Linked DNA regions of Lepisosteus oculatus. The protein of the gene in region 3 interacts with the protein of the main gene of each other region in a pairwise test. Links are inferred from orthologs where the notes say so. Each region holds a gene or a part of one and is shown on either strand. Other genes may lie near its edges. The genes, in order: ythdc1, prpf38a and clk2a.

Evidence for each region.
Region 1: the proteins of clk2a (region 3) and ythdc1 interact in binary tests that used the Homo sapiens proteins (3 or more experiments, as listed by UniProt). The two-hybrid records come from large-scale screens. The link is inferred for Lepisosteus oculatus from reciprocal best matches to the Homo sapiens genes CLK2 and YTHDC1.
Region 2: the proteins of clk2a (region 3) and prpf38a interact in binary tests that used the Homo sapiens proteins (3 or more experiments, as listed by UniProt). The link is inferred for Lepisosteus oculatus from reciprocal best matches to the Homo sapiens genes CLK2 and PRPF38A.

What each region holds. Positions count from the first base shown.
Region 1 is NC_090698.1:64,044,022-64,054,101, forward strand, and holds the start of ythdc1 (YTH domain-containing protein 1), read right to left. Parts: upstream 4,616-10,080; 5' UTR 4,443-4,615; coding exon 4,415-4,442; intron 1,292-4,414; coding exon 1,190-1,291; intron 706-1,189; coding exon 365-705; intron 1-364. Other genes in the region: UDP-glucuronosyltransferase 2A2-like, read right to left, coding at 8,477-8,759, 9,210-9,429. UniProt on the Homo sapiens protein: Regulator of alternative splicing that specifically recognizes and binds N6-methyladenosine (m6A)-containing RNAs.
Region 2 is NC_090704.1:14,896,041-14,906,303, reverse strand, and holds the start of prpf38a (pre-mRNA-splicing factor 38A), read right to left. Parts: upstream 4,761-10,263; 5' UTR 4,704-4,760; coding exon 4,574-4,703; intron 4,152-4,573; coding exon 3,992-4,151; intron 3,633-3,991; coding exon 3,511-3,632; intron 3,344-3,510; coding exon 3,258-3,343; intron 2,482-3,257; coding exon 2,368-2,481; intron 2,224-2,367; coding exon 2,117-2,223; intron 1,914-2,116; coding exon 1,887-1,913; intron 1,421-1,886; coding exon 1,329-1,420; intron 468-1,328; coding exon 419-467; intron 181-418; coding exon 138-180; 3' UTR 1-137. Other genes in the region: orc1 (origin recognition complex subunit 1), read left to right, coding at 5,542-5,639, 7,116-7,243, 7,438-7,616, 7,938-8,286, 9,420-9,678, 10,262-10,263. UniProt on the Homo sapiens protein: Involved in pre-mRNA splicing as a component of the spliceosome.
Region 3 is NC_090722.1:6,921,317-6,931,204, reverse strand, and holds the start of clk2a (dual specificity protein kinase CLK2), read left to right. Parts: upstream 1-5,280; 5' UTR 5,281-5,417; intron 5,418-7,835; coding exon 7,836-8,008; intron 8,009-8,348; coding exon 8,349-8,595; intron 8,596-8,607; exon of another isoform or gene 8,608-9,888. Other genes in the region: uncharacterized protein, read left to right, coding at 581-910, 2,037-2,348, 3,518-3,661, 3,898-3,941, 4,260-4,409. UniProt on the Homo sapiens protein: Dual specificity kinase acting on both serine/threonine and tyrosine-containing substrates. Phosphorylates serine- and arginine-rich (SR) proteins of the spliceosomal complex.

The DNA.
Region 1 (10,080 bases), on a different chromosome or scaffold from region 3:
TTACAAGATTTAAAACAAGCTAATTCTTTTTTTTATTTTTGCTTTGACAGGGACTTGCGAGAGACTGTGAAATACAATAAAAATCAATAATACATACTATTTATGGTCTGAACCCGGGTGAAAGGATGGGTGAGCCCTAATGAACATAAAAGTAAACTAAAATCTACATATGAAGCAATATCTCAAGAAAAATATCCAAACGGTAAAACATATCCCAGAAGGACCACAAAGATATGAGGTCTATTTGCACTCATGTATGACCGGAAAAGACTTGTGTAACTTTAAGCAAGACTCGCAAGATGTTCAGATATTCAATTCCGCCGTGCAGTTCACGTCTCTCTCCACAGAAAGGCCAGGACTTTACCTCTGACACTTCAGGCATCAGTGGCTTGGGCCGTCTGTCCGACTCCCTCCTCCTGCCCATGGACTTGTCGTGGTGAACTTTATGGATGTCCCTGGAGCTGCTTCCTCTCACCACATGGTTTCTCCTGTCTCCTGAATCCTTGTTCCTGTCATAGTGATACTCCTCAGCCTTGTAGTCTGAGGAGTGGCGCCCCCTGGGGTTCACTGGCTTCTTGCCGCCGGTGACGGTGGCCGTCGAAGACCTCTTGACTGTCTGCCTCGTGGAGTGTCCAGAAGAGCGCAGCCTTTTGCTCTCGCTGTTGTCACCCCGGTCGTTCTTCCGTTTCGATCCTGCAATAAAAACTTAAGTGTGTAAAGGAGACCGGCGTTAACCTCTGTCGGATACCGTGCTTCAAGGTTCTAGACTGACATGAACTGTGCTGTTCTTCCACATCATATAACATAACCACTTTATTAGCCCTATACAATATCTTGCATTAGGAATTCGTCTTTTCGCATACCCCAGCTTGCTCTCCATGAGACACACAGACAGGGAGAGAAGCTGGGGTTCAGAGCGCAGGGTCAGCCATTGTACAGTGCCCCTGGAGCAGTTGGGGTTAAGGGCCTTGCTCAGGGGCCCAACAGAGCAGGATTCCTCTGCCGGCTGCGGGATTTGAACCGGCAACCTTCCAGCCACAGGCACAGATCCTTAGCCACAGAGCCACAGCTCCGCCCTGGAATATAGTCATTCAGTTACATTTGCAAGCATGCAAAGGTTTAAGGAATGGGCACTGTCTCTAGTTCATTAAACTCCATAACCACAGCAAACCTGTCCTAAGATCCCCACCTTTTTTCTCGTTGATGTCATGCTCACTTTCAGGGTTGTACAACTCGTCGTCCTGGTCAGGTGCCTCAGTCAGGATATCGTCCAGGACGTTGAGTTCACCATCTGAAAAGTATCATGTCCCATGAGTTCAGAAAGACATTCCTTCAGATTTAAGGTCCAAAGGACATGAAAAAATACAAATCATATTTATTGCTTCAAAGTTATACCTTTAAAAGGGAACTTCAGTCCCTCAGTTTCTCAGACTAGTTATTAAATCTCGGTAACAACATAAATTAATTGACAGGATCGGAAAATTTCACAAATTCTGAATTAAGCATAAATTGTGAACTTTGTGAAAGTACTATATGGTTGCTATTTGTTGTAAACCGCTGGTCTCTCCACAGATGAGAGCGCAAATTTGAGAGAATTATGATGTGAATCGAACCATCCTGCTCAATAGTCATCGTCATGGCTAATGTTTTGGGATGTCCAAGCGCATAAGTATAGGTTGTGTAGCAGACATTTCACAACAGCAATGTTAACTCTAAATGCACTTTTGAACAAGTAGTATTTGTCTGCAAAGTTCAAAGTATTTCTATTCGATTAAAAGTCACCTGCAGTTTTGGTACCTCATTCTGAATCGCAGACAATGATGGCAATATGGTGATGCACATGCCTGGAAATGTGGTCAATTTCGTGATGTAAATTGGAAGTCGTACGTGTTACCGTGTACATTTTGTTTTCATTATGGCTTGAAGTGCACTCATCAATGCTGATTCTTTCTAGCCCCCAAATTATTAAATAGCGTTGAAGTTCCCTTTTACAGAGGCTTCCACTAAAGTGATGAAAGCTGGTCCTAATTGAAAGGTATAACAGAAACCGTGCTGCTATTGCATAAATGTTGCTTGTTTTTTTAGAAAGGGTAACTATATATACACAGAATCGTAAAACAAAGTCTACATTACCAAAAGTTCGATTTCTTTAAAAAGAAACCACTCCAGGCTTTTAAAGGTTACCCGTTTTATTTGCCAACAAAAAGTACCAAAAATAAACATACAAAATCCGTAAAGGACACCCCAGCTGAAAAATGCTCATGGTAGCGCTGCATTTAAAACATCCATGCGCAGGAACAATATAAAAAACCAGCTAGCTGCACTGTAACTGATGTTCTGGGTGTGACCTTCGAAGCTGCAGACAGTCCGTGATGCACCACCTGCAGGTTAACTTCCACACCATAAGGTTACATACCCCTCTCCTGTAACAGTGTACAATGTTTGATATTTTGCCTATTTACTTCATTACAGATGTGTGTTTCTTTAATCACGAGTGACATGATGTTTAAAGCTTTCAACTTTGTATGAAAACACCGTGTGAGATCAGCACGTCCTCCCTGCTACTGCATGGTTCTCCGAGGGTCCTGGGTGGTCCCCACCTCTCTCCAGGCATGTTGGTTAGGTTAACTGCCTTGATCCTTATACTTCTGAGATATTCTCACGGCTCGATAAGAGTAAAAAGCTTTTTGATTAGGGGCAGATGGTATTACATGCCACGTCTGAGACTTGACTTTCAATACACTAACATCAGTTCAAAGCCTGAAGCTAAAGTTAAATATTTTGCATGGCGAAAGAGTGACAATGCAATTCTGAAGCAGACAAACTTATAATGTCAAATTCAGCTCTACTCTGGGAACACGCCTCATTGACGCAATGTTCTAGGGTGCAGGTGGGAAAAGAAAAGGCAGTATACCACTCCTTAAAGTAATAAAACTGATTTTGAGAATGCAATGCTGCTCAATGGTGGCATTATTATGGGCTGCATACCTGGTGCTGGGACACTGGAGGGTGCAGTCTGTGGCTTGACCCCCCCAGATGTTTATTTGTTCATCATGGCTGCCCCTCTATTTCTTACTCCAACTGACTTGAGGTTTTCCATTTCATTGTGGGAAATACAGTGATGAATTTATGGAACTCTAAAAGTCCATAACCCCACCTTAAATACAGCACCAGCTCTTGCACACAAATAATAGCTCAGATTAATGCTATAGTTAAAGATTATGTTTACAGAACATTGGCTACCTCGATTTACCTCGAGCATGTTACACTTCTGTCCTCCTGTACTTCATAGTTAAAATAAGACCATTACACAATATATCAGTACCAACCAACAGACTACATCTCTGCCAGTTTATCAGCGGGAAGCTCACAGACCGAAGATTAAATTGAACACCGCCCTTCAGATACAAAATGAAAACCATGTCGCTTCAGAACCACTCACTAGCAAGTCCAAAGCATGTGCCCAAAGCGAAACCGAACTGATGGCTGCTCCATCTGAAATTCATCTTGCTTGATCAGCAGCCGTCCTATGCTGACAGGGCACTCAAATTCAGCACCAGAAGCTGTCAGCTCCCGTTATGCATACCCTGTCACGTTTTTAAAGCGCTCACTCCATGCAGTTTCCCAGCGATCGCCCAGTAACGCAGAAACTGGAGGATCTGAACACGGTAGCCCCTGCACTGCGCACCACTAGCAAGAAAAGTCCCAGATCAAAGAAAATTATAAGTACACCTTTTGCCTAGGGGACACCTTTTATCAGGAGGAAATCTGGCACTCGCGATCTCGATCAGGGAGCGGGTCAGAATCCACAAAGATCCAATCTGTAAACAAGGACGGAGAGGTGCCTACACGATAAGCCTTTCGCCTCCATTTTTGCTCAGAGGCTCAGATTTGTACAGGATACCCGGGGTGGGGTAGTCGCATCTCCCAGCCCAGTCTTTCTGCGTTACAATATCGTATTAACTCCACGGAAACAAGAACACCTAAGCTTTACAACAACCATCCGTGCTTCCTTCCAGCATTTGCAGAGAAAGAAAAAACGTCGATGAAGAAAACACGTCCGAAACCACAAACTTCAATTTTGTGGTGCGCATTAAACCGCATATTGGAATGGATAACGTTATTTAGGGGGCCTAAGTGAGTGTATAACCAGGGGCTTGGCTTGAAAATCAAAGCAGATAGCTGACAAACGACACCGATACAGTCGATCGATTAGGAGGATAAAGGCTCCTCTACATACCCCGCCTGTGGCAGGAGGACACATATCACGATAACCACGCGTTTCACAACGTAGGATTTAACATAAATTACAGACGTCGCTGCACCCAAATAAAAAAGAAATGCACTCCACGCCACCAGTCTTTCACTTACCCGTAAACAACCCTTCCCCAAAAATGAAAATATCGCAGTTTACCTTTCTCATCTCGCCTGTCGACCGCCATCCTCCGGCCCTTTCTCTGCCTGGCGTTTATCTGCAGTGGATTCGTCTTGCCTTTTCTTATAACTGCCTCGTTTATAGATCTAAAATATGTTAAAGAAATACAGTTTTACCCTCCCGCATTCCGCAGCCTCTAACCCACCTCTGTCAAAATGGCGCCCAACCTCCCTGCCTCTCTGATACAATGCGATTACCCACAATTCCCTCCGCCAATACGTCACAAAGCTTTTTGCAGGCTTACTCCTCACAAACAGCTTCAGCGTTCCAAAACCCGGAAGTATCATTCGTGGGCTGTGGGGTTCAAAGCCTCATCTTTCAAAAATGGCGAACTGCATCTTGCATGCGCAGATTAGTGCGCAGGTTGTGATCTCTTCTGTTTGCTGTAGAATCTCAGTAATTGTTTGTTGCCGCAGGCATAACAATGAAATGAATATTGTAAAATAATATGATATATTTAGATGTATCTTAAAAGGCTTTACATAGACTTGAAGAAACTTGTCCAACTCAATTCAGGATCAGTTAAACTCGGTTAGGTGTGATGCTGCTTTTTTGGAGACCTAGACCTTGGTCTGATCCACTGTGACTATGAAGGGGGCAAATCTTAAACTAGAAAGAGAAGTGACTTCTGATTTCTTTGCTGTGCTCAAAGTAAAGAGAACTGTACATACTGTAGACAAAATACACCAAAGACAACAAACAAACTCAGACATTTGCCAGCAGGTTTATGGTAAACACCATAGTCCAAAAACAAAGTTAAAATGAAAGGTTACGTACACTAAACACGTTAATAAATAGAAATAGAGTTGATACAACGAGTGAGAGAACACAAAGCTTTACAAACTTGAGAAGTTTCATGCAAAACATTTGCCGCTTACAATGCCAGATAAAATATGTCTGAGGGAAGAAAAGAGAATTACATTTTCATTTTCACAAAGGAAGCAATTCTGAGAAGGAATTTGGCAGGAATTGAGAATGGGTAGGTTCTACCATTTGACTTCAGGGCAGAGCTAATATAATTATCTCAGCAACAGAACTGAGGTCTACTGAGAAACAAACATTCTCAGAATCGAGTGAAACAGTTTTGCAGTATGAAAAATTGAACTGTTACCTCACTTCTCATTCTCCATAAATTTTAAAATTATAATTCGGTACGCATACACCTTGCCCCTATTATATTCAAAATTTAGTCAGATGCAAAATCAGTATGAATGCTCAATGTAATCTCAAGCTTATGCGAAGTGCAAATACTCTGAGTTTTGCTTGCAAGAAAACTCTTCTCAGTCTTTTCACCAGTCTCAGCCTTTTCCAGCAATCACTCAATAGAACTTCTCAAAAACTACATTAAATTCATTTAGAAATACATTTTTCATTAAACGAAATGATTCCGTTTTTCAGACTGCTATTTCGATTTCCTTTTAATTTGTTGCCCCCATCATAAATGTTTCCGTAAGAAAATGAACACATCATCAGTGTGAAGGCATTTGGAGGAAATATGTACAGTAGTACTGATGGCACTGACATTTAGCACCGCTGTCTCATAGGCCCTTGGGTCCTGGGTTTGATTCCAGATGTGCAGTCCTTGGTGTGGAGTTTGCATGTTCCCCCTGTGCCCATGTTTTTCAGGTGCTCCGGTTTTCCTTGGCATGTTGGCAAGGTTAAGGGTGTCTAAACTGTCTCCGTGTTTTTTAATGCGTGTGTCCTGTCATGGACTGCTATCCTGTCCCATCTTCTACCCCTGTGCAAATGGGACGGGCTCTAGGTTGTCACAGCCCTTATCAAGAATGGACTTTCTGATGTTGGATGGGTAGACTTACTTTAAAAGAGTAGTGTATGCAACTGTGGCCAAAATTATAGAGACATCTGAAGTACTAAAATACAACTAATAAATGAGAAATGTGATAAATATTATTGAGCATTTATTGATACTCAATGCAAAGACAATTCAGCACAGAAATGCTTTTTTACTTTACTTTTATTGCACATGCATCTCAACACACATTTCCTACTCCATCTTGACCACATTTCTTCTGTGCTGAAGCCTGTTCACAGTGTTTTTTGCCTTTTCAGTCCTAATCCTCTCCAGTTGCATTTTTGTTGGTTAAACATGCTATCACCCCATAACATTTCAGTAGTAATAGGATCTAGAGAGTAGTTAGATAATTACTTTAATTTTAAAGCCTATCACTGCTCTTTGTGAATTCAGTTATTCAAGTTTACCCTGACTTTGATGTTTGATTCTTAATTATTGAAAACAACCTTTTCATCTATTAATATAAGCATTGCTTTCAAAATTCAGGTTTAATCTCAAGATATAGTTTATCAATACAGACAAATTACAAAAGTTATTTGTTGTATGTATATAAAAAACAACAATAATAATTCAATAATATTTCTGAAACATTACATAAATCAATATATACAAATTTATTTAATATGGTTATTATTTTGTATCATACCAATCAACCAAATGAATACCATATTTAACATATCAGCTCTCAGCATTCCTTTCCACATGTAGACAGCACGAGAATGTGGATATAAACAAAAGTGTAAAAGATTCTGCAGTTTATCCACAAAATACAAAAAAATTGCATAATAAACAGGTGGAAATAAACAGGAGAAAAAAGTTAATTTAACTCACATCAGAAACATATAAATTAACACTATTTTTTAGTGACATTCAAAATTAACCAACGTTCTACAGGGCATTATCAATGAGAGTAGTATTCAGAATAGCTGTCTACATGTTAACACCAAAAATAAAGATACTGTATGCTGCACATACACATATCATTCAGAACATCTATTTGGAATAATGACAATTACACACTTAATCATGTTTGGAATTCTAAAGGCATACTTTGTAGTGTAATAAATTTGAAAAGCTGAAGCAATGTGCTGCAGCTTTCTGTTCATTTAGTCAAAATGACTTGCACCATAATTGTGCATATTTAAACATCACATTTATGAGGAACATCTACACTACAGTTCATTACATTTATCTATTGCAACTTATGCATTGGGTTACCCATAATAATGGATGTAAACACGGAGACTGGTTGGATTCTACCTGACCTCAACTGGCACATTGTTAATAGTTCCCAGTTTTAAAATATAGTAGTTTGTAAGTCAGTTTTTCTATGCTTGTTTCCCTAGCCTTTTTCTTGCCTACAGTACGTGATATATTATAATTTACAGATGATTTTTCTTTCAAGTGCTATCAGGGGGAATAACAACACTCAAGAATTAGGCAGGTTTATTGAGTATTTAGGTTTTGTAGTATTCCACACCCCTTGGACTGGACTGATTCATATGCTACTACCCTTTCCCATCCAGGCCTGCACCTTAGCTAGGAAATCTTAGCTGATTCACTTGTTTTCTTTCTCTTCTCTCTCAGGCCTCAGCTACAGTACCTCCCCCTGAGAATAGCACGCCCACTGTAAAGCTGAGGGCACTAATCTGTTTTGGTGAGCATGAAACAGTCTCTTCCCTACTCTGCCTGCACAAGACTGGTTTCGCCACTGAATTGGGGATCTCTGATCCCAGCTTGGCGAGGGTCAGTCTCATAGCCATAGGTACTGTAGAAGAGGCTGGGACTCCATGCAGAGTTTAAGACCGACTTGAAATAAAAAAAAACATCTCTGAAATCTCTCCAGAGAATACCAGAGGTGCCACACCAAAGCACAAAGTGTCGTAGACATGTACACATTGAACCTGGTTGGTAGAAAGGAGAATCATAGCGTCTAGACTGTTGAGCCGCTTCGGGTGGAAGGACTACCACCTCACATCTGAAGAACACTTTGCAGCATAAATATTGTGTTTGTATTTTTCCACGTAAAATTAACCCATACTTGTTCTTTTGCACACAGATGCAGTCCCCACTCGAACGTATTGAACCTCATTACGAACTCCAAACTTTTGGCATCTTACCACTGATTGACCCCTTATATAAAGATTATAATCGCGGTTTCACCGATTACTGGAAAAAAAATCCCGGATTGGATCCGAAAGTGAAATGAAGCACTCAGTGACCAGGACTTATTCCTTCTTGGGTTTTGCTTTTGCCCTCCTGCAGCATCGCCGGAAACAGAAGCCGCAGCTTTTGATGAGGACGAACACCACTGCTGCCGTAGCAGCCAGCAGCACGGCGATGACATCCAGGCTGTGGTACTGGTACCAGGCCAGATTGTGAGCCTGCACTCTCAGGTGCTTGGCCCCTTTGTGGCGCATGACGAACTCGATCCAGAACACGGCCCTCTCCAGCGGCGTCATCGGCTGATCGTGGTGGATTCTCGAAAGCCTCATGGCGTTTTCTCTGTACCTGGTAATGAAGGATAAGAACAATGTGATGATTAACGTTTCCCGACATTGACACAATACAGAGGAGGTTTTTGTTGAGGAAGCAGTTGCAGAAACCTGGCTCGGAAAAGCACAGGGTTAGACTCGGGTTCTGGCTAGTTAAACACAGTATTATGCAGTATATTTTTATAGCCTTAGAGAGGCTTAAAAAACTAAAACAGGAAAACAATCTCTCATTTTGCAGCATCCCTGGCTTTAATTTACCCTTTTTAATAAGTCTTTCCAGTTGCCTTTTAAGAAGCAGGGTTGTCTACGAACAACTTAAATGACAACTTGATTCGGGTGTTTAATTTAGGTAAGCTGACGCACATTAATTGTGTTTTCGGAATGGTTTATTAGTCTTGCTGAGTGAGTAACATTTCAGCTCTGGTTCGTCTTACAAAGGTGACAGTGAAACTAAAATGTGACTTACGACGTGTCATTTATCACTGTGCTGAGGGCATCCACAAGGTCTTTGGATTCCATGTTGTTGAAATCGACGACAACAGCTGCTCCCTTGGTTTTCATGTGCATCATGTTGTCGGGCTGGTCACCAAACAGAGGGATGCCCACCATAGGAACCCCATGGTATATGGCTTCGTATATTCCATTGGTCCCCCCATGGGTGATGAAAACCTTGGTCTTTGGGTGTCCTGTGAGTATAGCACAAGCAACAGCTTTTTAAAATTCAGTAGCCCCGCAGGAAGCACAAGCTGGAAACATTCTGCAAGAATAGGCATAGTCCCGTTCAGAGTAGTGTTAGGACAAGCTTTATCCAATACAGGGCCACTGGAAAGCAGGAGCCTATCACAGCAAGCAGTGGGTGCAAGGCAGGATACACCCTGGTGGGGACACCAGTCTATTGCACGGCTCACAGACACAGACACACACACTCGCTCCAGGGCTAGTTTTTCCAAAAGCCAATTAACCTGACAGAATGTCTTCAGGCTGTGAGAGGAAACTGGATCTTACAGAGGAAACCCATGCCAACATGGGGAAACATACAAACCCCAAAAAGAGCACCTGGAATTGAATCCAGGGCCCCAACTCTGAGAAGCAAAGAATTGCCATAGTTAAATGTATCTCATCAAAACCTTTAAAGAGAAATTCAAACACAAAATAATGATGATCCTTGTATTTTTGTGATTTTTCATCTCAAAGCCCTTTAGAACACAAAAAAAATCAAACATGAGAGGTTGTTTCTCATAGGCCATTGGAAGAGACAACTTCAACATGCAATAAATAGCCAGCGTACATAACAAACAGACAAACAGTTCACTGCATTCAAAAGACAACACAAGAAA
Region 2 (10,263 bases), on a different chromosome or scaffold from region 3:
ATTAACCAAATAACTGAAGAAGTCTATTAAAAAGACAAGAAAAACTGTTGCCTCTTTCAATGAACTGTAAGCAGAGTATGTACAAAACAATATTATCAGTCCTAGGTAGGTTATAAAAATCATCTTTCAAAAAATCTTTATTCATTTCCTCTGCGGCTCTTTTTATGACTCTTTTTTGACCTGCAAAACAAAAGGAAAATGTTTATAAACTTCTTTCTTTTGCCCAGAATGAAAAGCAGAACCAGTACTTTAAATTACAAGCTTCTCTCAGAACAGAACTTACAAACAATTTTCAATTTCTGCAGTCCTTTTTTGCTTGAGAAATTTGGATGGAAAAGCTGAGGTCTTAATAGGAATTATTTTGCCAAGTCAAAATTCAGTCTTCAATTTTCTTCTTAAGCATAAAATTAACTTTTACCTTTCTGGAGACTTGGAATGGCTCCGGTGCCTGTGGCTTCTGTGATGGCCTGGAATGAAAATAAATTACAAAGACATTCTCCTTTGGTAAAAACAGGAATCAATTGAGACCAAACATACTGCAATTAATGACAATGACCTGCCCAAGAGGGTCATACCCGTGTTGATAAGAAACAATACAAAGAAGAAAATAAATATCATAAGGCACACTCATAACAGGATAGGGTCATTAAAATGTTAAGTGTCAAGCAGAAAATATTTTCTTTGCATGATTAAAACTTCCTCAGAAACGAAGGTTGATAGTTACAGCTCTCTCTGCAGAATGTTCACGTCCAGGGCTTGCTTTTAAAGGAACAGCATCTTAAAATTGTAGGATATTACACAGACTCACAATGAATTAAGTAGGGAAAGTATTAAATTAGTACCAATTAAAGATCTATGAATTAAGTTAAGCATACATTTAGTACACAGGCAGGGCCAAATTAAAGATTAAGGTTGCATTAACTTATGAAAGAAGGGCAAAACACAAGACATCGCGAGAACAGGTCTAGAGAAATGTGAAAAACAAGCATTGACAGAAAGCGAGATTTAGCTTGTAACTTACCAAGTATTAATAAAAGGTATTACATAATGCCTTAAAAGATTCCTAGAAATTATATTTAAACATTTCATACATGTATTAATCTATTGGCCTATCAACATTACCTTTGAAAACCTCTGTGCTCCAGCCTATAGCCAAGGACATCTCAGGACTAGTCCTTGACAAAATTAGGGGACTCCACTAAGCTTTCTGTTCTTAGTAGCTTGGAACCAGTTCTACCATCAGTTCCAATTCATGCTATGAAATCAAAAGGGTTACGCTGGAAAGGAGAAAGAGTTAAGAAGTGGTTTGCAGAAACACGGGGGAGTACCTGGAGACTTGGAGCGGTGGCGCCTCTCTCTGGACCGGCTGCGGTGCCGGCGCGGGCTCTTGCTCCGATGCCTCTCACGACGGGGTGAAGGGCTGCTCCAGAGCCAAACCAAAAAACCCACAGCAATTACAATACCAGCCTGGCAAATCCCTGGCCCTATTTATTCATCGAGGCTGATGCTGACAATTCTGCCCTAAAGCGACAGGCAGGTAAACGAACGCTGATATAATAAAAGCATTACAAGGTGCTAGTTAACTTTTAAAATGTTATATCTTGCAATATAAAATATTGTCTATTGCTTCACATTAGTGTCCAGCTTTAAGTCACTGGAAAAACCCAAGTACTTGATTAATAGAAATATGCTGTTAGTAGACAAAGTGTTCCTGTTTTATTACTGGTCTGATCACTTCACAAAATAACACTTTGGTAATTTATATTTCATAGATTGGGAATTGGCCAGTGATAAGTGTCAATTAGTAACTACAAAAATCTCAACTTAATTACATCCCCGATTAATCAATGTTGCCATAAAAAGAAGGAATTCAAAAATTATATTACCTGCGCCTCTTAGGTGATCTGCTCCGTCTGAAAGTACAAAAGAGGAAGATAAAAAGTTTTAAGATTTTGTTATGCTGTTTTGGAGTCACTTTCTCAAACATGGTTATTCTATTTTCACACCGATGATCTCAAAACACCTTGAGAAAAACGTTCAAATGACAACAGCTTTAATCAAGTGAAGTGATCACAGCACTCTTGCTGGGAAAGAAAAAACAGAGCGAGGCGCTTACCTCCTGGGAGACCGACTGCGTCGGTAGCGAGGGGAGGGGGATCGGCGGGGCCTGTCTACGTCGCGGTAGCTTCGTCGGTGGGGCTCTGGAGACTGGCCTCTCTCCGGCTGCAAGCCATGACCGCAGGAGGTCACCGCATTTCACCGCAACAGAAGAAACACCAAGTGGAAAACGGGAACAAAATTAGGAAACAATTGTGAGATAGAAGAACATCCTGCAGACCGAGGTTCAGAGTTCTTGGTTCCCCTTACCTTCTCTTCCTCCTCCTCCTCTTCCTCCTCGCTGGTCTCCACCTCGTCTAGGTCCTCTTCCAGTGCACTGACCCGAGTGTCCAGCAGCTCTGCCTCCTCCAACACCTGCCGCTTCTGCAAAACAGATGCACACCTTTCGTTGCACACCTGTTCAGCAGACTCCGACTCTGCAAGTGCTTTTTAATCGCGATCATAATCAAAGAAACTTGTCAAGACATGTAAGGCCATGCCAGCAACCATATCACTCTGCAACTCACAACTGGCAGCCCACTGAAGCTAAGCAGGTGTGAGCCTGGTCACTACCTGGATGGGAGACCTCCTGGGAGAAACTAAGGTTCCTGCTAGAACAGGTGTTAGTGGGGCCAGCAGGGAGAGCTCACCCTGTGGGTCCTAACGCCCCAGTATAGCGATAGGGACACTGTACTGTAAAACAGGCACTGTCCTTCGGATGAGACATAAAACTGAGGTCCTGACTCTCTGTGGTCATTAAAAATCCCAGGGCGTTTCCTGAAAAGAGTGGGGGTGTAACCCCGGCGTCCTGACCAGATTTCCCATTGGCTCTTACCAATCATTGCCTCCTAATAATCCCCATCTATGAATTGGCTTCATTACTCTGTTGTCCTCCCCACTAATAGCTGATGTGTGGTGAGTGTTCTGGTACACTATGGCTGCTGTCGCTTCATCCAGGTGGATGCTACACATTGGTGGTGGTGGAGGGGAGTCCCCATTACCTGTAAAGCGCTTTGGGTGGAGTGTCCAGAAAAGCGCTATATAAGTGTAACAATTATTATTAATTATTATTATAAAGTGATATGAACTTCTTTAATCTGCTATTCCTAGAGATTTGCCTGCTATAAGAGTGCAGAAGAATGAAAAGAGCTACTACATACCTGTAGCCTAGGAAGTATTATGTCACACACTCTTTCGCTGTGCAGCAATTCATCAATGTATTCGTCCACGTGCATCAGCTCAAACTCTTGAGAAATGGAAAGGCAAGATAGTGTGAACAAGCATTTAAAAAAAAAAGTACTAAACTCCAGTTAATCTCACTTGGCATATGCCTCTAACAAAACAGCTGCCACAAAATACGGCCTTGTCGTAAAATATTAAAAACAACTGCATGCACACAACAAAGAAGCTCACCTCCATTCCGATTTTGGTTTTTGATTTTCCTGTAGTCATTGTACAATGGCTCCAGGTACTTATAGCAATCCACTGATGAACCAGTCAGTCTCATGTACAAGGCTCCAAGCAAACGGACATACCTACAGGGAATAAATGTGACTTTCACTTTGTATCCTCAGCAGGGCTAGTACCGAGAACTTTTTAAATGGAAGAAAATATAGCATACAAATGTAGCATCCTTAATGTTACCTCAGAAAGAATACCTCATGGTATGATAAATGATGAATACAAGCCAGTGCATAAAGGTAGAAAAACTATAAGAAAACTTAACGATAAGACCTGCATGGTGAGCTCAGCATCTCCAAAGAAACAAGAAACAAGCATCTCCAAAACACAATGGAACTGTCAAAACATCTACCACATACTGCCGTTTCTCACTAGAAGCTCTGCGTGCCCTCTTTACAATAGCTTGTCTTTCAGCTCAGTGCACTACACCTACTTGAAATCCTCGTTCTTTATGAATTCCACGATGATGTCTTTCTCCGGCTGGATCTGCAGCATCTTCAGGGTTAGGCAGAGGAAAGGAGTGGGTTTAATATTCCCTCCGTAAACTCCACCAACGTACTTCAGCTCCATGGCTTTATCCACCACCAATTCAGCTGCACATAGAAAATAAAAGTGGTAAAGACAATCAGCAGACAAACGTTACAAAAACACTGTAACGTTTTAATGAAGGCACAGATTAACGAAATCTGTGAGGTTATTTAAACTGTTTTTGCCACCTACTCACAACACTTCACTTATGTTTTTTTTCCAATTACTATTGCTAATACTGCTTGCAGCTAAACGGTGGATTACAATTGGTCAAATGGATCAAACAGCTGTAAATCTCTGTATCTGGACTAGAGATTAAATTAAAACCAGACAGGCCTCAAATAATAGCAGTGTGTTTATAATTTTTTTTAATGGACAGTATTACCATGGATATTACTGTAATTACTCGAATTGCGCTCTGTTCACACTTGTATTTTTACCATATCTACTTATTCAATTATTACCACGTGTCTCTGCTACTGCTCACCCGTAAGTCCGAAGCATTCCTCCTTCCAGTATTTTGACTCGTAGATCCGTGTGCGAATAATTTTCTCCACTAAATACTGTGGATTTGTTCCATGAATGCTATTAGCGTCTTTCACAGTTCGATTAGCCATTTTTCCTCTACAGTCCTCTCAAAACACTTCGCAACACAAGTGTTTCCGGTGCAGAAAACATACACTTCTGGAGTCAAAGGGCGTGTGTTTCAAGCGCTCGTGTCACGTGACATGACGTCACTGAGCACAGAGCACCCAGCCCGGGAAAGTGTAGCGTGTGTCGGTGGGGGTAGTTCTTATAAAGTAAAGGAAGTGATATAACTGTATAACTGTATGAAGTCTGGTGTATTTTAGGCGAATTAATAAATGACAAGAAACACTTCTTGTTAGTAGAAAATTACGTTTTAAAGATTGTTTTAACAACGAAAATCACACCTTCGTTATTTAAACTTTTGAGGTATAGTTTATTACCTGTGTGTCATCCTGGACAAACTTTTTTTATCAGTTGAAGTGCACTGAAGAAATCAAGCGGCATTACTTTCCTGCTTAGACATTCATTTTGTAAGTACATCTTTTAAATCGTAACATCTAGAAAGAATAACTGGGTTCCATCTGGAATCTGAGAGTCCAATGTGTTTATGTTCACATGGATTTCACTGTTTCTTGGTTGTTGACGACTACTCACCATCATTTCCATGAAGATGAGCATCATTTTCAAAATTCAGTCACATAATGTCATTAACACTGTCGTTTCCATGTTACGTTTTTTTTATGTACAGAATGACAGTAACGCAGTTAAACATACTGTTCAATTGAATACCTCAGTTGACACTATTGATATAATATAACTTTACTCAGAAACTTTTTCTTCTTCAAAATCAAGATTTAAAAACACATTTTCTCAGTATTTCAGTTTTGAATGCTTTATTACTTTTCGTGCACCTTAGGAGATAAAAAGATGAGCCGGTACCTAACCAGGCAGAGGAAAAGGCGAGTGTACACTTGGAATGGAAAACCTACGCTCATTGACAGGAAACTGCAGTTTTTCTATTACGAGTGAGTAGTTCAAGACTTCGGCTTCCTTAGCAATCAGATAGCTTGTTTCTACTAAAAACCATTATCAATAAGTTGTGTTTTTACACTGCATTCATCCCATCGTTTAGTACAAGGACACATAAGAAAGGTTACATGTTAGAAGTGTCCATTTTGCCTATTTTGCTTTTTGCATCTCAGAACCTGCACTTGCAAGTGAGGCAGTAAAATCCCATAACAACAACATGCCTATCTAGGTAGTGCTAGTACGGATCAATAATGCTGTGAGTTCCATGTTTCAGTTGAGTAGGAGAATTCCAGTGTCAAATTGAAAACAAAAGGCTTTTAGGGCAGGCTGATTGAGCTTCTGAGGTATGTAGCTGAGTACTGAGAAGACACATCTCCTTTCTGAACGGGTGAGTCTTGAGCAGGTGCCAAAAGGTGGTCAGGGACTGAGCTGTTTGGATTTCTGTTGGCAGTTCATTGCACTGCTGAGGAGGTTGAAGGGAGAGATACAGGAGTCAGGTTTGGCAGGAGCAGAGTGGTGGGAGGGAAGTAGGGTCTTGAATCGCAGTAACAGGGATGCAGTGGAGGGGTACAGGTAATGGAGTAGCAAGTGAAGAGCAAAGGTGAACAAGAGAATTCATGATGAGTTGGAGTGAACGGGTAGTATTAACAGGGAAGTCGGCAAAAGAGGGAGTTACAATAGTCTGATCATTTGGAATTGTGTGGAATAGTTGGTAAGGAAGCGGGTGATTCTGCATACCACTCTTGAAGTCATCACAGGAGCATGCCAGAGGGAGAAATCTGATGACAAAACGAGAGGTAAAAAGTATATGTGGAAGTGACTCAAGGAACAGGTCTAGAGTAGGGGTTCTAGGACAGAGTCCTGCGGTACACCTTATGAGTGTGACTGAGTGGCATATAGCAAGGTAGCAAACTAACCTGTAGTTTTAAAGTGGTAGGGTAAATGGTTAAAGAGAATTTATACAATACTGAGAATAACAATTTAAGAACAATGTTATTTACATTTATTGAAGTGCAGTAACAGTAGGTTTTGTGTATATCATAGATCAAAGGATGTAACTATATTGTGTATCACATTGGTGTGACTTCTGGATCAAGTCCATAACCTAAGGTTTTAACTCTTTTCTCTGTTTATACAGTCAAGAATGATAACTTGGGATGCAGTAAAATATTGGGGCTTACGTGGAATGTTATATATGTTTTGTTTGCTGTAAACTAAACATTCTACCTTCACATACTGTCTGTGCTGTCCGTCATAGGAAGAGTCCATCATGGCACCTAACCATGAGGGTTTTGAAGCCACAAATTGTAATTGAATGTCAGGTCTCAGGGAGGACATGAAGTCCACAAAGACACTTTAGTTGCAGATACATAGAGAAAAAGTGCTAAGTAAGTTAATTCAATTAAGTTAACACATAAAACTTAATATTGGTTCTGAAACTAAATTGAACGAAATTTGTTCTGTTTTTCAAGTGGGTTTTTCATGTATGCAGAAGGCACTTCAGAAGCCAGTTCTATAAAGCTCGGCCAGTACATCTTGATCGAAGGCGATGATGATGACAATCCCTTTATTGCAAAACTACTCAAACTCTACGGCAGTGGTGAGTCACTGGCAGGCATTTCTTCTCCAGTCTGATATAGAGCATGTGTACCATGAAAGTATTTTGAAAGAATTTAAAGATCGCTTAAATTCATGGAGGTGGTGAGGTTGTAGCAAATTGTGTTTCTTTAGCCCTTCTTTTTCCTTGAGACACTTATGAGGTTAAAAGTAATGGCATGGTTCTCTCATCTTTAGGTCCTAGGGAAAGAGAGAATAAGCGAGCAGAGGTGCAGTGGTTTGCCCGATTCTCGGAGGTGCCCTCTAACAAGAGGAAGATGTTGGGCAGGGCGCCCCACCCTCAGGAGATCTTCCTGTATGACGTGACTAACTGTGACTGTGAAATAGATGTGGAGACTATTCTTGGTGCTGTGGAGGTGAGTAAAATCACAGACACACATGTATGTTGAAGGTGATCTGGGATATTTCCTCAGACTTTAAAAATTGATCTCATGAAACATTTCTGTTTGTGATCAGAACATGGGCAAAACATCTTGCTACTTGGATTTTATTTACAATGTGAAAAATAATTCATTTAAAATGCTTTTTAGAACCTTAATTAAATAGTCAGTGAAATGTTGTTGCTAATAAGGGTGGCATTGGCTTATGACATGGCAAAGCTTGGGGGAGATCCGCATTCCTTTCTGAAGGTGATTTCTTAAGGAGAGACGAGTCTGAAGGCACTCTGTGTTCTCCAGGTGAGACATGTGGAGCCACAAGCCCCCTTCCCAGTGGAGCAGAGCAACGGCACCCTCTACGTCAAGCTGTCCTGGAACGGGAAGGCCTTCAGAGCGGTCACAGCTGAGCAGGTGGGACAGGGCAGTGGGGCTTCTCTGGCCCCTGCTCCCAGAGGCAGCCTGCCCACCCCCGACGTTGCTGTGATGAAGAGGGCCTTGGCTGGGGCGGTGAGTGTGGGGGTGCCAGCCTCAAGCCAGGCTGAGTCCCACCACTCCTCCTCCAAGTACTCCCAGTCAAAAGGCCTGAGTGCCCGACGGCAGGCCAAGTGTTCTTCCACCCCAGGCGTCCGGAAGAAGCTGCAGCTCAGCAGTAAGTGCTTGCTTGAAATTGTGGTTCGCGTGGTCATTTGCCATAATAATATTATTATTAATTTGTTACACTTATATAGCGCTTTTCTGGACACTCCACTCAAAGTGCTTTACAGGTAATGGGGACTCCCCTCCACCACCACCAATGTGTAGCTCCCCCTGGATGATGCAACGGCAGCTATAGTGTGCCAGAATGCTCCCCACACATCAGCTATCAGTGGAAAGGAGAAAAGAGTAATGAAGCTAGTTCATAAATGGGGATTATTAGGAGGGCATGATTGGTAAGGGCCAATGGGAAATTTGGCCAGGACGCTGGGGTAACACCCCTACTCTTTTTGAGAATCGCCCTGGGATTTTTAATGACCATAGACAGGACTATTTTACTATTTTTCTCATCTGAAGGACGGTGCCTTTTTAAAGTATAGTGTCCCCATCACTGTACTGGGGTATTAGGGCCTACACAGACCACATGGTGAGCGCCCCCTACTGGCCCCACTAACACCTCTACCGGCAGCAGCCTTAGTTTTCCCAGGAGTTTTCCATCCACATGCTGACCAGGCTTACACCTGCTTAGCATCATTGGGCTGCCAATAGGGACTTGCAGGGTGATATACTATAGCTGCTGGCGTTATTATTATTATCGGCTTCTCCGACATCAGCGGTCATGGTCTTTTACATTACAAATGGATTACAAATCTGAAAATACAAGTTCCTAATAATAGTACGCAGAGGCAATGCCCATCCCCCTGCAGCAGGGGGGAAAACAAGGTTTTTCAAAATAAGTGTTTTTTACTGGGGAGGGGACAAGCTGTAGGTCAGTACTTCCCCAGCAAACAAGGTATAAAAACACAGTTAAGAACTGTGGGTGTGCTTCCAACATTTCTCATTTCACATTTCAGAATGGAAAAGAGATTCCAAAAAATTTTAATGAACTTAAATGTTTGTTTTCGTTTGTTTTACTCATTTCAGTGGACATTCCTCAAGTAAATAAGTGTTAGATCGTAAGGAATGTTACTAACATCTCTGCCCATCTAACTCATTTGGTATTGAGTACTTAATCAATCCCAGGATATCATTTAGCTATTTCACCAAAGTATTGTTCGCACTGTTTAGCTCTCTGGTGTCTTCTGGTAGGCCCAGGGAAGTCCGCGGGGGCTCGGCTCACCAGGGATGATGTGCTGGAGGAGCTGCTTCACACAGAGATTGAGAACCAGAAGAGCGAGCTGACAAGCAAGGTTCTTGCCACTCCCCCACGGCCCCTCGGCATCACTGTCCGCCTTTCCCCCATCAGATCAGTCGCCATCACCTCCCCCGCTGTTCGCATCTGTCCCCTGCAGGGCGCTCAGGACCCTGCCGGCAGCACCCGTCCCGATCGGAACCAGGAGTCAGTAAAGTATGTATTTCTGCTGTACACTTTCTTGTCAGTAGATCCACGATGGGCCTAGTCAATACTGGCCCTTTTGTGTGAAGAGCTGAGAGTGTTGCTCACTTACAGCATACATCTTGCAAAATTAAAAGTGAAGAAGATAAGATAAGATCACTTTATTGGCCATATACAATTTCTTGTATTAAGAATTTGTCTTTTTCACATACCCCAACTTGCTCTCCATGAGACACACAGACAGGGAGAGAAGCTTGGGGTCAGAGCGCAGGGTCAGCCATTTATAGGCGCACCTGGAGCAGTTGGGGTTAAGGGCCTTGCTCAAGGGCCAAATGGTGTAGGATTCCTCTGCCGGCCTTGAGATACAAACCGACAACCTTCCAGGCATAGTCACGGATCCTTAGCCACAGAGCCACCACTCCTCCCGAAGGCTTCAAAGTTAAATGTTTTTAATTTATTTCTAATTTTAAGCATGGAATTAAACCTAAACCTTGTCAGAGGTAGAAATATTTTTATAGGAAGACTTCAGTATGTATTATGGAAACTGAATGATGATGATGATGGGCCAGTGAGAGTTGTCACTGGGCTGTTACAGGG
Region 3 (9,888 bases):
TTAGATTTATTCTTATTAGTCTGTTTTTGCTGTTCTTATTTTTCAAATTGCTGTTGTTCTGATTTTCGTTGTTAATGTGCAATTACACGATTAGATCTTATTGAAATATTATTACCATTGTTATTAAAATTACTGTTGCACTTCTATCATCGTCTTTGCTAATGAACATTAATACTGTTAGATCTGAATATATTCGTACTGTTATTATTAAAATTACTGTTATTATTGTTGTTCATGTGCAATAATGATATTAGACTTTATTAATATTATTATTATATTGAATTAATATCATTTCTGTCGTTTTGTCTGTTAAAGCGCAATAAAACAAATAGCTTTTATTAATAATTGTTAAATTACTATTGATCTAATTGTATTATTATCGTTGCTAAAGTGAAATAAGAGTATGATACATTATATTGTTGCTGTTATTATTAAAATCGCTTTTGCTCATATATTATTAACGTGCAGTAATACTATGAGATCTTCTGGATGTTATTATTATTATTATTATTATTATTATTATTATTATTATTATTATTATTACACAAGCCGAACCTGGCGGGCTCTGTTTGTTCCTCAGCGGTTCCGGCCCAGGACAGGGTCTGGGTGTTTTCCCAGCCGGGCCAGGACGCCGCGGTACCCTGCACCTGCATCACAAAGCAGGGCTTCTACAATGAGCACCTCCTCTGGTTCCGAATGGACCCAAACGGGAAGCTGGAGATCCTCAACACGGACTGCAACCAGAACCGGAACACCGGCTGCCGATACAGCAGCACCAGAATCGACTCGAACCGGGTCCAGCTGACGGTGCTCGCCGCCCATTCCGCCGACTCCGGCGTGTTTTACTGCGGGGAGCAGAACAACAGCTGCACCGCCTTGCCGGACCTCGGAACCGTCTTCGTCGTCGGAGGTAAGAACCCGCCCGCCCCGCGCCGTGCCGGGGCTGTCCGGGGCCGGGGAGCCCAGAGAAGACCCGGTCGGCGGCGCTGGGTGCGATTGCTGGCAAAAACCACACAGAGCAAAACCCGACAGGCTCCAAGACGTTCTGTCGGGCCCGGCGGGTCTGGAGGGAGGGACCGGGTCCGAGGGAGAGACAGCGAGCTTTTACTCCGCCCTGCGGCCCGGGCGGCTGCGGGCTTCTGGGCGCCCGGCGCTTCACTGACAATTCAATTCAACTCAAGGCGCTTCACTGACATGGTCGAGGAGTACAATCGGTGTTGCCAAAGCAAAACAAATACAATTAACATGGAACAACAATCTACAGACGTTTACAATAAAGCCACAATCATAAGATATTTGCATATAAACATAAGGAGTATTATTGGAATAATATTAATATCTGCCTGCCTCACACCGACACACACAGGGACACACAGACACACACTGATATACACAGAGATACACAGGGACACACACAGGGACACACAGACACACACTGATATACACAGAGATACACAGGGACACACACAGGGACACACAGACACACACTGATATACACAGAGATACACAGGGACACACACAGGGACACACAGACACACACTGATATACACAGAGATACACAGGGACACACACAGGGACACACAGACACACACTGATATACACAGAGATACACAGACACACACTCACAGGGACACACAGACACACACTGATATACACAGAGATACACAGGGACACACAGGGACACAACAGGGGAATTTAGAGACAACAGTGACCCAGCCAGCAGGAGTCTGGGAGGTGGGAGGAAACAGGAGCACCTGGGAAAACCCACTCCCACGCGGACAGACCATGCAAACTCCTCACAGAATGTGCCCCCGGCCAGAACCGAGCCCCACAGCCCAGAGCCGTGTACAGAGCCGCACCCCACCCACCCTGGGTTTCCGGCTGCTCTCTGGGGTGATGCGCTGGGCTCTGCAAGACGACGTGAGATCCTGATGCAGCTCTAACGCAGGCTGCAGTGCCAGCTGCCTGGCTCTCTGGGGGTCCCCGTTAATCTGCGCTCATCACGTGCCACGCGCTGCCTCTCTCCCCCCCTGCAGACCCCCCCGCGGACAGCCCCAGCGTCTCGGTGCTGGTGCGGCCCGGCCGGCGCGGGGAGGGCCTGGCCCTGCTGTGCCTGGTGAGCGGCCTGGCGCTGCCCTGGGCTCAGGTGAGCTGGCTGGGGGCCGAGAGGGAGCGCCCGGCGCTGGAAGAGACCACCAGGGTGGCAGGCAGGTACCGCGTCACCAGCCGCCTGAACGTCTCGGAGGAGGAGTGGAGCGAGGGGGGGCCGTGGTCCTGCCAGGCCCGGACAGGCTGGGCTAGCGTCCATCAGAGCCCGAACGTCTCGTCACGCACCCTCGAGGGGAAAGGTAAACCCACCCACACAGCACCCACCCCTTACCTACCACACACCCCTCACCCACTCATCACCCCTCACCCCTCACCCATCACCGACCCCTCACCCCTCACCCCTCACCGATCACGACCCCTTACCCCTCACCCCTCACCCCTCACCCATCACCGACCCCTCACCCCTCACCGACCCCTCACCCCTCACCCCTAACCCCTCACCGACCCCTCACCCCTCACCCCTCACCCCTCACCCATCACCCCTCACCGACCCCTCACCCCTCACCCCTCACCCATCACCGACCCCTCACCCCTCACCCCTCACCCATCACCCCTCACCGACCCCTCACCCCTCACCCATCACCCCACACCCCTCACCGACCCCTCACCCCTCACCGACCCCTCACCCCTCACCCCTCACCCATCACCCCACACCCCTCACCGACCCCTCACCCCTCACCCATCACCCCACACCCCTCACCGACCCCTCACCCCTCACCGACCCCTCACCCCTCACCCCTCACCCATCACCCCACACCCCTCACCGACCCCTCACCCCTCACCGACCCCTCACCCCTCACCCCTCACCCATCACCCCACACCCCTCACCGACCCCTCACCCCTCACCCCTTCACCCCTCACCGACCCCTCACCCCTCACCGACCCCTCACCCCTCACCCATCACCGACCCCTCACCCCTCACCCCTCACCCATCACCCCACACCCCTCACCGACCCCTCACCCCTCACCCCTCACCCATCACCCCTCACCCCTTACCCCTCACCCCTCACCCCTCACCCATCACCGACCCCTCACCCCTCACCCCTTACCCCTCACCCCTCACCCCTCACCCCTCACCCATCACCGACCCCTCACCCCTCACCCCTCACCCCTCACTGACCCCTCACCCCTCACCCCTCACCGACCCCTCACCCCTCACCCCTCACCCATCACCCCTCACCCATCACCCCTTACCCATGAGCCACCTCTTACCCACTCCCTACCACCTCTTACTCTCACACTCCCACCTCCAGCCCCACACCCACCATCACCCACCCTGACCTATCCCTTACAACCCATCACCCATCACCCACCCCTCACCCCATTATTATTGAGAACACTACAGTGTGTCAGGATAAAGGTATTACAGCACACAGCTGTGAGGTGTCGCCCCCTGCTGTTCGAACAGGTCAGCTGACTGCGCTCCAGTGGTGCCCGGGTCCGAGTGGGTCTCTGTACCCAGCTGTCCTGGCCTCTCTCTCTGCCCTCAGTCTGCTGGCTCTGATCGGCAGTATCTCCTACCTGACCATTAATCGCTCACCCTCTGACAGAGGTAAGACACACACACACACCAGCTCAGACACACACACACACAGATAGAGAACAGACGGATTGATTCGTATTGCTCATGAGACACACAGACACACACACAGATAGAGAACAGACGGATTGATTCGTATTGCTCATGAGACACACAGACACACACACAGATAGAGAACAGACGGATTGATTCGTATTGCTCATGAGAATGGATCACTGCTCTGCTCGTCCTGTGCTCCTCTGTTGCAGACTCGAGGCAGACAAATGGGGGCGCTCTTGTACCTGGGTTAGAGGTGAGTGTGGTGTCATGTGACCAGTGTGTGTAGACTTTATACACCTTAACAAAAGTACTTATATTTAATCTGGGTGGTTCAGGCCAAGGGAGGGTAAGAATAGAGTGGTCAAGGTACAGAGTATTGTGCAGTGCTGTGCGTTGTTGTGTAGTGTTGTGCAGTGTAGTGAGTGTTGTGCAGTGCTGTGCTTTCTTGCGAGGTGTTGTGAATGTTGTGCAGTGCTGTGTGTTGTTGTGAGTGTTGTGCAGCGCTGTGCACTGTTGCAAGGTGTTGTGTGTTGCTGCGAGGTGTGTGACACATGACCCTGCTGTGTTGCAGACGGACACCTATGGGGGCGTCACCTACGCACACCTGGACCTGAAGCCCGCGGGCCGGCCGGGCCGGCGGCGCCAGGACAGACAGGAGGACAGGCTGACCTACAGCGAGGTGCGGTACGCCAGGCCCAGCGGGACCGGCCAGACCGCCTAGCCCTCGCCACGCAGCGCCACAGCGCCCCCTGCTGCCCAGCCCTCAGATCCCAGTCCGCTGACAGCTGGGCTTCAGCAGTGCGCAGTTCTCTGGACTGCTCTGGTCTTCTGTAGTGTGCAGTTCTCCTGTGTGCTGTGCTGTTATAGGGTGTTCAGTAGTGTGCAGTCCTCCTGTGTTTTGTGGTGTTCAGTAGTGTGCAGTCTGTGCTGTGTTGTTCTGTGGTGTTCAGTAGTGTGCAGTCTGTGCTGTGCTGCTCTATGGTGTTCAGTAGTGTGCAGTCCTCCTGTGTTGTGTGGTCTTCAGTAGTGTGCAGTCTGTGCTGTGTTGTTCTGTGGTGTTCAGTAGTGCGCAGCCTGTGCTGTAGTGTTCAGTCCTCCTGTGTTGTGTGGTGTTCAGCGCCCTCTACAGCTCACCCGCCGACAGTGTCTTTTATCTTCAGTGGTTATTTACAGTTTGTGTCCAGAGCTCTTCCGTGCAGTTTGGATTTTTACTCGTCAGTTTTATAGATTTATTCTCGAGTTCTGCTGTGTTGACGTGCTGCCGGTGCTGTCCAGCGCCCTGGAGGCGCCGATCTGCGCATCGGTTGTGAATAAAGTCAGCGTGATGCGTGAGCCTGTGTCCTGCGTGATGTTTTCAACAGCTTCCTGTGCTCCTCGCCCGCCACACATGAAGCAGCCAGCGGCTCACGGGCCATCTCACAAACCACACATTACCACCAGTACCGACAACACTGACACAGCCTTGGTGTATTAACGCTGAGCCCTCTGTGGGTGTGACAGGTAGCTCGGAGTTCTCGTCAAAGTGGTATTTAATAAGCCGTCCGGGGGCGAGCACGCTTGGCTACTGACGTCGCTCGGCTACCCCCCACTCTCGGGAGCGCGCAGGTAAGGAAAGCGAGAGCGCGCGGGCAGCTGCAGCTGCTAGCACAGAGCGCGAGAGAGGGAGAGAGAGCGAGCCGCCAAGACGGATTTCCTGTGGGATAAGCGGACGGGCCTCGCTGCGAAAACGGTAAAACATGAAATCAATTATCGCTGTTCTTGCGCGTTCGGGGCTCGGGGCGGTAAGGGGGCGCCGGGCCGGCCCCCGGGTGCCCGGGAAGCCGGGGTGTTTCCCAGCCGGAGCGGCCGTGGAGCGGGCCAGCGTGTCGAGCTAAGATGGCGGCGGGGGAGGAGGGAGGGAGAGAGAGAGAGAGAGAAGCAGGGGTGCGCAGCGGCGGCGGCGGCGGGCTGTAAAATGGCGGACTCGGGGAGAGGGGAAAAAAAACAAAACAACAAGAGCGCCCCGTCGCCGAGCAGCTGCCACGAGCTGGGCCGGAGTTCGGTTACAATTCAAAACCCGCAATTCGAATTCGAAACTCCGCCCCAACGGCTGGCGGGTCCCGGGCGGGCGGTGTGTCTGAGGCTGGGTCCCCCTGGCCCGCTCTCCTCTCTCTCTTACTGCGGCCCCGTTGCCTCTGCTCGCTCACTCGGCCGTGGGTGCGGGGAGGCAGCGGCTCTGGGGGCGACAGTCATGTAAAGAGGGCTGAAGAGACGGGGCTCGCCGGCCTGTGCGGGGTCGATGGGGGCGGGACACAGCGACAACATGGTGGGCGCCGTGCTGAGCTGAGCTGTTGGCTTTTTAAATATTAATTACACGAGCTGCTGTCTGACCCACAGCCGAGAATCCCCCCACTCCACCCCACCCCGGGGCTGTGAAAACTGATGGTAGCGGGTGTCCGTGTCCGGGAGCCGCCTGACGGCACCTGTTCCTGTAGGGCTTGGAGGTTTTGACGTGAGAACAACAGGGTCGCTGTCTGAGGGTTTAGGCCTCCGGGTTGAAAAACACGCCGCCTGCGCTGCTGGAGACGCCACGGAGGCAGGCGAAGCGTGTGACTTTGAGAGCTGCCGTGTGCGTGTACCTGTGTTACCTGCCCTGCGCAGGGTCCGGGTCTCCACTGCTACTGTACCATACTGTCACTGTTCCTGAACACTGATGAACCCACACCACACTGCAGTACTGTAGTGCTCTCACTGTTCCTGAACACTGATGAACCCACACCACACTGCAGTACTGTAGTGCTCTCGCTGTTCCTGAACACTGATGAACCCACACCACACTGCATTACTGTAGTGCTCTCACTGTTCCTGAACACTGATGAACCCACACCACACTGCATTACTGTAGTGCTCTCACTGTTCCTGAACACTGATGAACCGCACTGCTGCAGTACTGTAGTGCTCTCACTGTTCCTGAACACTGATGAACCCACACCACACTGCAGTACTGTAGTGCTGTCACTGACCCTGAACACTGATGAACCCACGCCACACTGCAGTACTGTAGTGCCGTTACTTACCCTGAACACTGATGACCCCACATCACACTGCTGCAGTACTGTAGTGCTGTCACTGACCCTGAACACTGATGAACCCACGCCACACTGCAGTACTGTAGTGCCGTTACTTACCCTGAACACTGATGACCCCACATCACACTGCTGCAGTACTGTAGTGCTGTCACTGACCCTGAACACTGATGAACCACACTGCTGCAGTACTGTAGTGCTGTCACTGACCCTGAACACTGATGAACCCACGCCACACTACAGTACTGTAGTGCTGTCACTTACCCTGAACACTGCTGCAGTACTGTAGAACGGAATCTGACTTCTCCCCCCTGCCCCACACACTGTCTCCCCAGGTGACCACACAGTCCCTCTGTCCACAGTCCACCCGGCCCCCTCAGACATGGGGGGGTGCTCCTGCCCTGCTGGGGGGAAGATCCAGTGCCCACCCCAGCCATAATCCACCACCTCCCCATCATCCTGCCCATCAACCCCTCTGGGATCAGTCGCACCCCAGTTTCTGCCCTGGGTTCCCCGAAGTGTGAGGGCCGCCTGGGGCAGTGTGACAGCTGCTCCTCCTGCCACCCGTCGCCAGGGCAGCCGGCGGGTCTCGCTCTGCGCTAACGTCCCCGCCGGACGAGATGCGGCCCTTCCTCCTCACGAGTCTCTGTGATGACGGGTTGAGCAGCAGACATTTCCCCGCAGATACGTTCCATTGTGATCTGCGCGCAGAGTTAACGGCTGAGAAGTATTTGTCGGCAAAAACAAGTCGAGCGCGGTATTTCTGCTGGATTAAAAGAGGTGTGTTCACAAGCCTGCTGGTTTGCGATGTCAACACGTCACCGGTAGTTTTGTTGCCTCGTTCTGAATCGCAGAACATGTGCGGACCTGGAAATGTGATCTATGTTGTGATGTAAATTGGAGGTTTTACAAGTTACTGTGAACGTTTTACTGTAGTGCTGTCGTTGTGGTGGTCCTGGTTCTCTCTGTGTGAAAATAGCGGTACAGGTCACCTTTCGGTACAGGCCGCCGGCCCACAAGCGCACAGCACACACACCTGTCCCACCGGGCTCACCCGCCCCCGCCCCGTCCTGTCCTTCCAGATGCCGCATTCGAGACGGTACCACTCCTCGGAGCGGGGCAGCCGATGCAGCTACCAGGACCGGTACCGGAACCGCAAGCACCGGCGCAGGCGCAGCCGCACGCGGTCCAGCAGCAGCGAGAGGGACCGGCGGGCCCAGCGGCACGAGGACAGCTACCACCTGCGCTCCAGGAGGTCAGGGCGGCGCCGGGCTTCGGCCGCGCGAGCACCCGCGAGCCCCCGTCCTTCGGCACCGCTGGTACCGGTCTGGGCCCTGGCCTCTCCCCGGCCAGCGCCGCTCGGCTGGGTCCAGCGCCAGTGCCGCGCGCTTGTCCGTTACCTCCCCTTGCCCGCTGTGACTGTCCCCACCCTGGGGCACTGGGGACCGGCGCCTCCGCTCAAAGGGTCCATGAGGGCCAGTTCGCCCCCTCCCCCGAGTCCGGCCCCTAACACCGCGTCCGCCCCCCCCTCCCCATAACCCCCCAGTCCGCTTCCTGCTCTCACGCTCACACCCCCTCGCCCCCCCCTCCGGCAGCTACGAAAACCGTTCGGCGGACCGCAGGGCGTTCGAGCGGCGGTACTGCGAGGGATACCGGCGGCTGGACTTCAGCCGGGAGCGGGACCGCGGCGCCGAGGGCTACTACGACGTCGACTACGCCCTGCACCAGCGCTCCTACGAGTTCCGGCGCGACCGCGAGGACAGCTACCCCAGCCGCAAAAGCAGCAGGCGTAAGCACAAACGAAGGAGGCGTAGAACCCGAACCTTTAGCCCATCGTCTTCGGTGAGTGTGCCCACCGCCCCCCCCGCCCCTGCCCCCCTCCCTCCCTCCCTCCCTCGCGCGCCTCCTGCCCTCTTTCTCTACTAACGCTCCTTTTCGCAGCTCCTGGATTCGGTAAGTAGCAAACCTTTTGTTTGTTTGTTTTGTTTTGCTGTGGATGTTTTTTTGGGGTGGGGGCGGGGGCGTGAATGTTGTCTCTCTCTCACTGTAGCGAGACGGGGCAGGTTTTGCGAAGGTCCTTCCTTGCCGCGCGGACCTTTTCGCTCTCTGGGCGTCTGTAAAAACAATAGTTTAAAAAATCCACGTGGGTAATGGCAGTCTGTTCCGTGTGCTGCCAGTCTCGCTCTGGGGTTTCTGTCTGCTCCAGGGTGGGGTCTCCTCAGGGTCCTCGGTGGGCTGCGGTCCTGCTTGGTCCTCTAGTTGAGACGCGTTTCGGCGGGGAGTCCGATCGGCCGGTCGGTGTTGAGGCGCGTTGAGGCTGCGTCTCCTGCCTGTTGGGCGACCGGTCTGGGCTGTAGGGGCTGATCCGGGGAGCAGGCCTCTGGCGCTGGGGTTCCCCCAGAGGGGGGTGCTGCGTGGACGTAGGCCCGTGAGGTGGGAAGTCCAGTACTTTGCCGTGTAGGGAGAACCCCGAACACGCACCCCCGGGGGCACAGCCTTCGCATCGGCCCCGGCGTTCAGTCAGCCCGCAGGTCCGCCCGTCCCCTCGCGTGTTCCCAGGGTGCCGGAGTCGTGCCGGGGAATCGGGCTTCTCTGGGGGCGTCTGGAGCGCCCGGCTCCCTGGGCTGGAACCGGACCGCTCCGGCGCCAGGACGGGTCGGGCAGCGGGTTTAACCAGCTGGAAACCCAGCCCGGCCCCGCTGGTTCGGTCTCACTCACGGGGAGTCCCAGAGAGCAGGGGGGCGGATTCCCGCCTGCGGAGGGCGAGACTCTTTAAGCGTTAACTCGGAGGCCAGGAATAGAGGGAGGCGGAGGAGGAGGAGAAACCCTATCCTCATCCCAGCGTTCCCAAGTCTCTAGTCATCCTGCGGTGCTTCCCGGCGGACGCAGAGCCCGATTTAGGCTCTCCTCAGCGTTTTTACCCCCCCCTCCTACCAGCGCCCGCTGAGTCCTCTCGTCTTCCCTCGCTGTGCCTGCCTGTGTGTCTCGGCTTCTCCTCCGCCTCCCTGCCCGGTGTGTGCGCTCTCTCCCCCGGGCTCCGGGCTCCGCGCTCCGGGAACGCTCTCGGAGGGCAGCGCGAGCCCATCCTGCTCCCTCCTCCTCTCCCCCTGCCTTCGTCTCGTCTCGTGTCGCCTC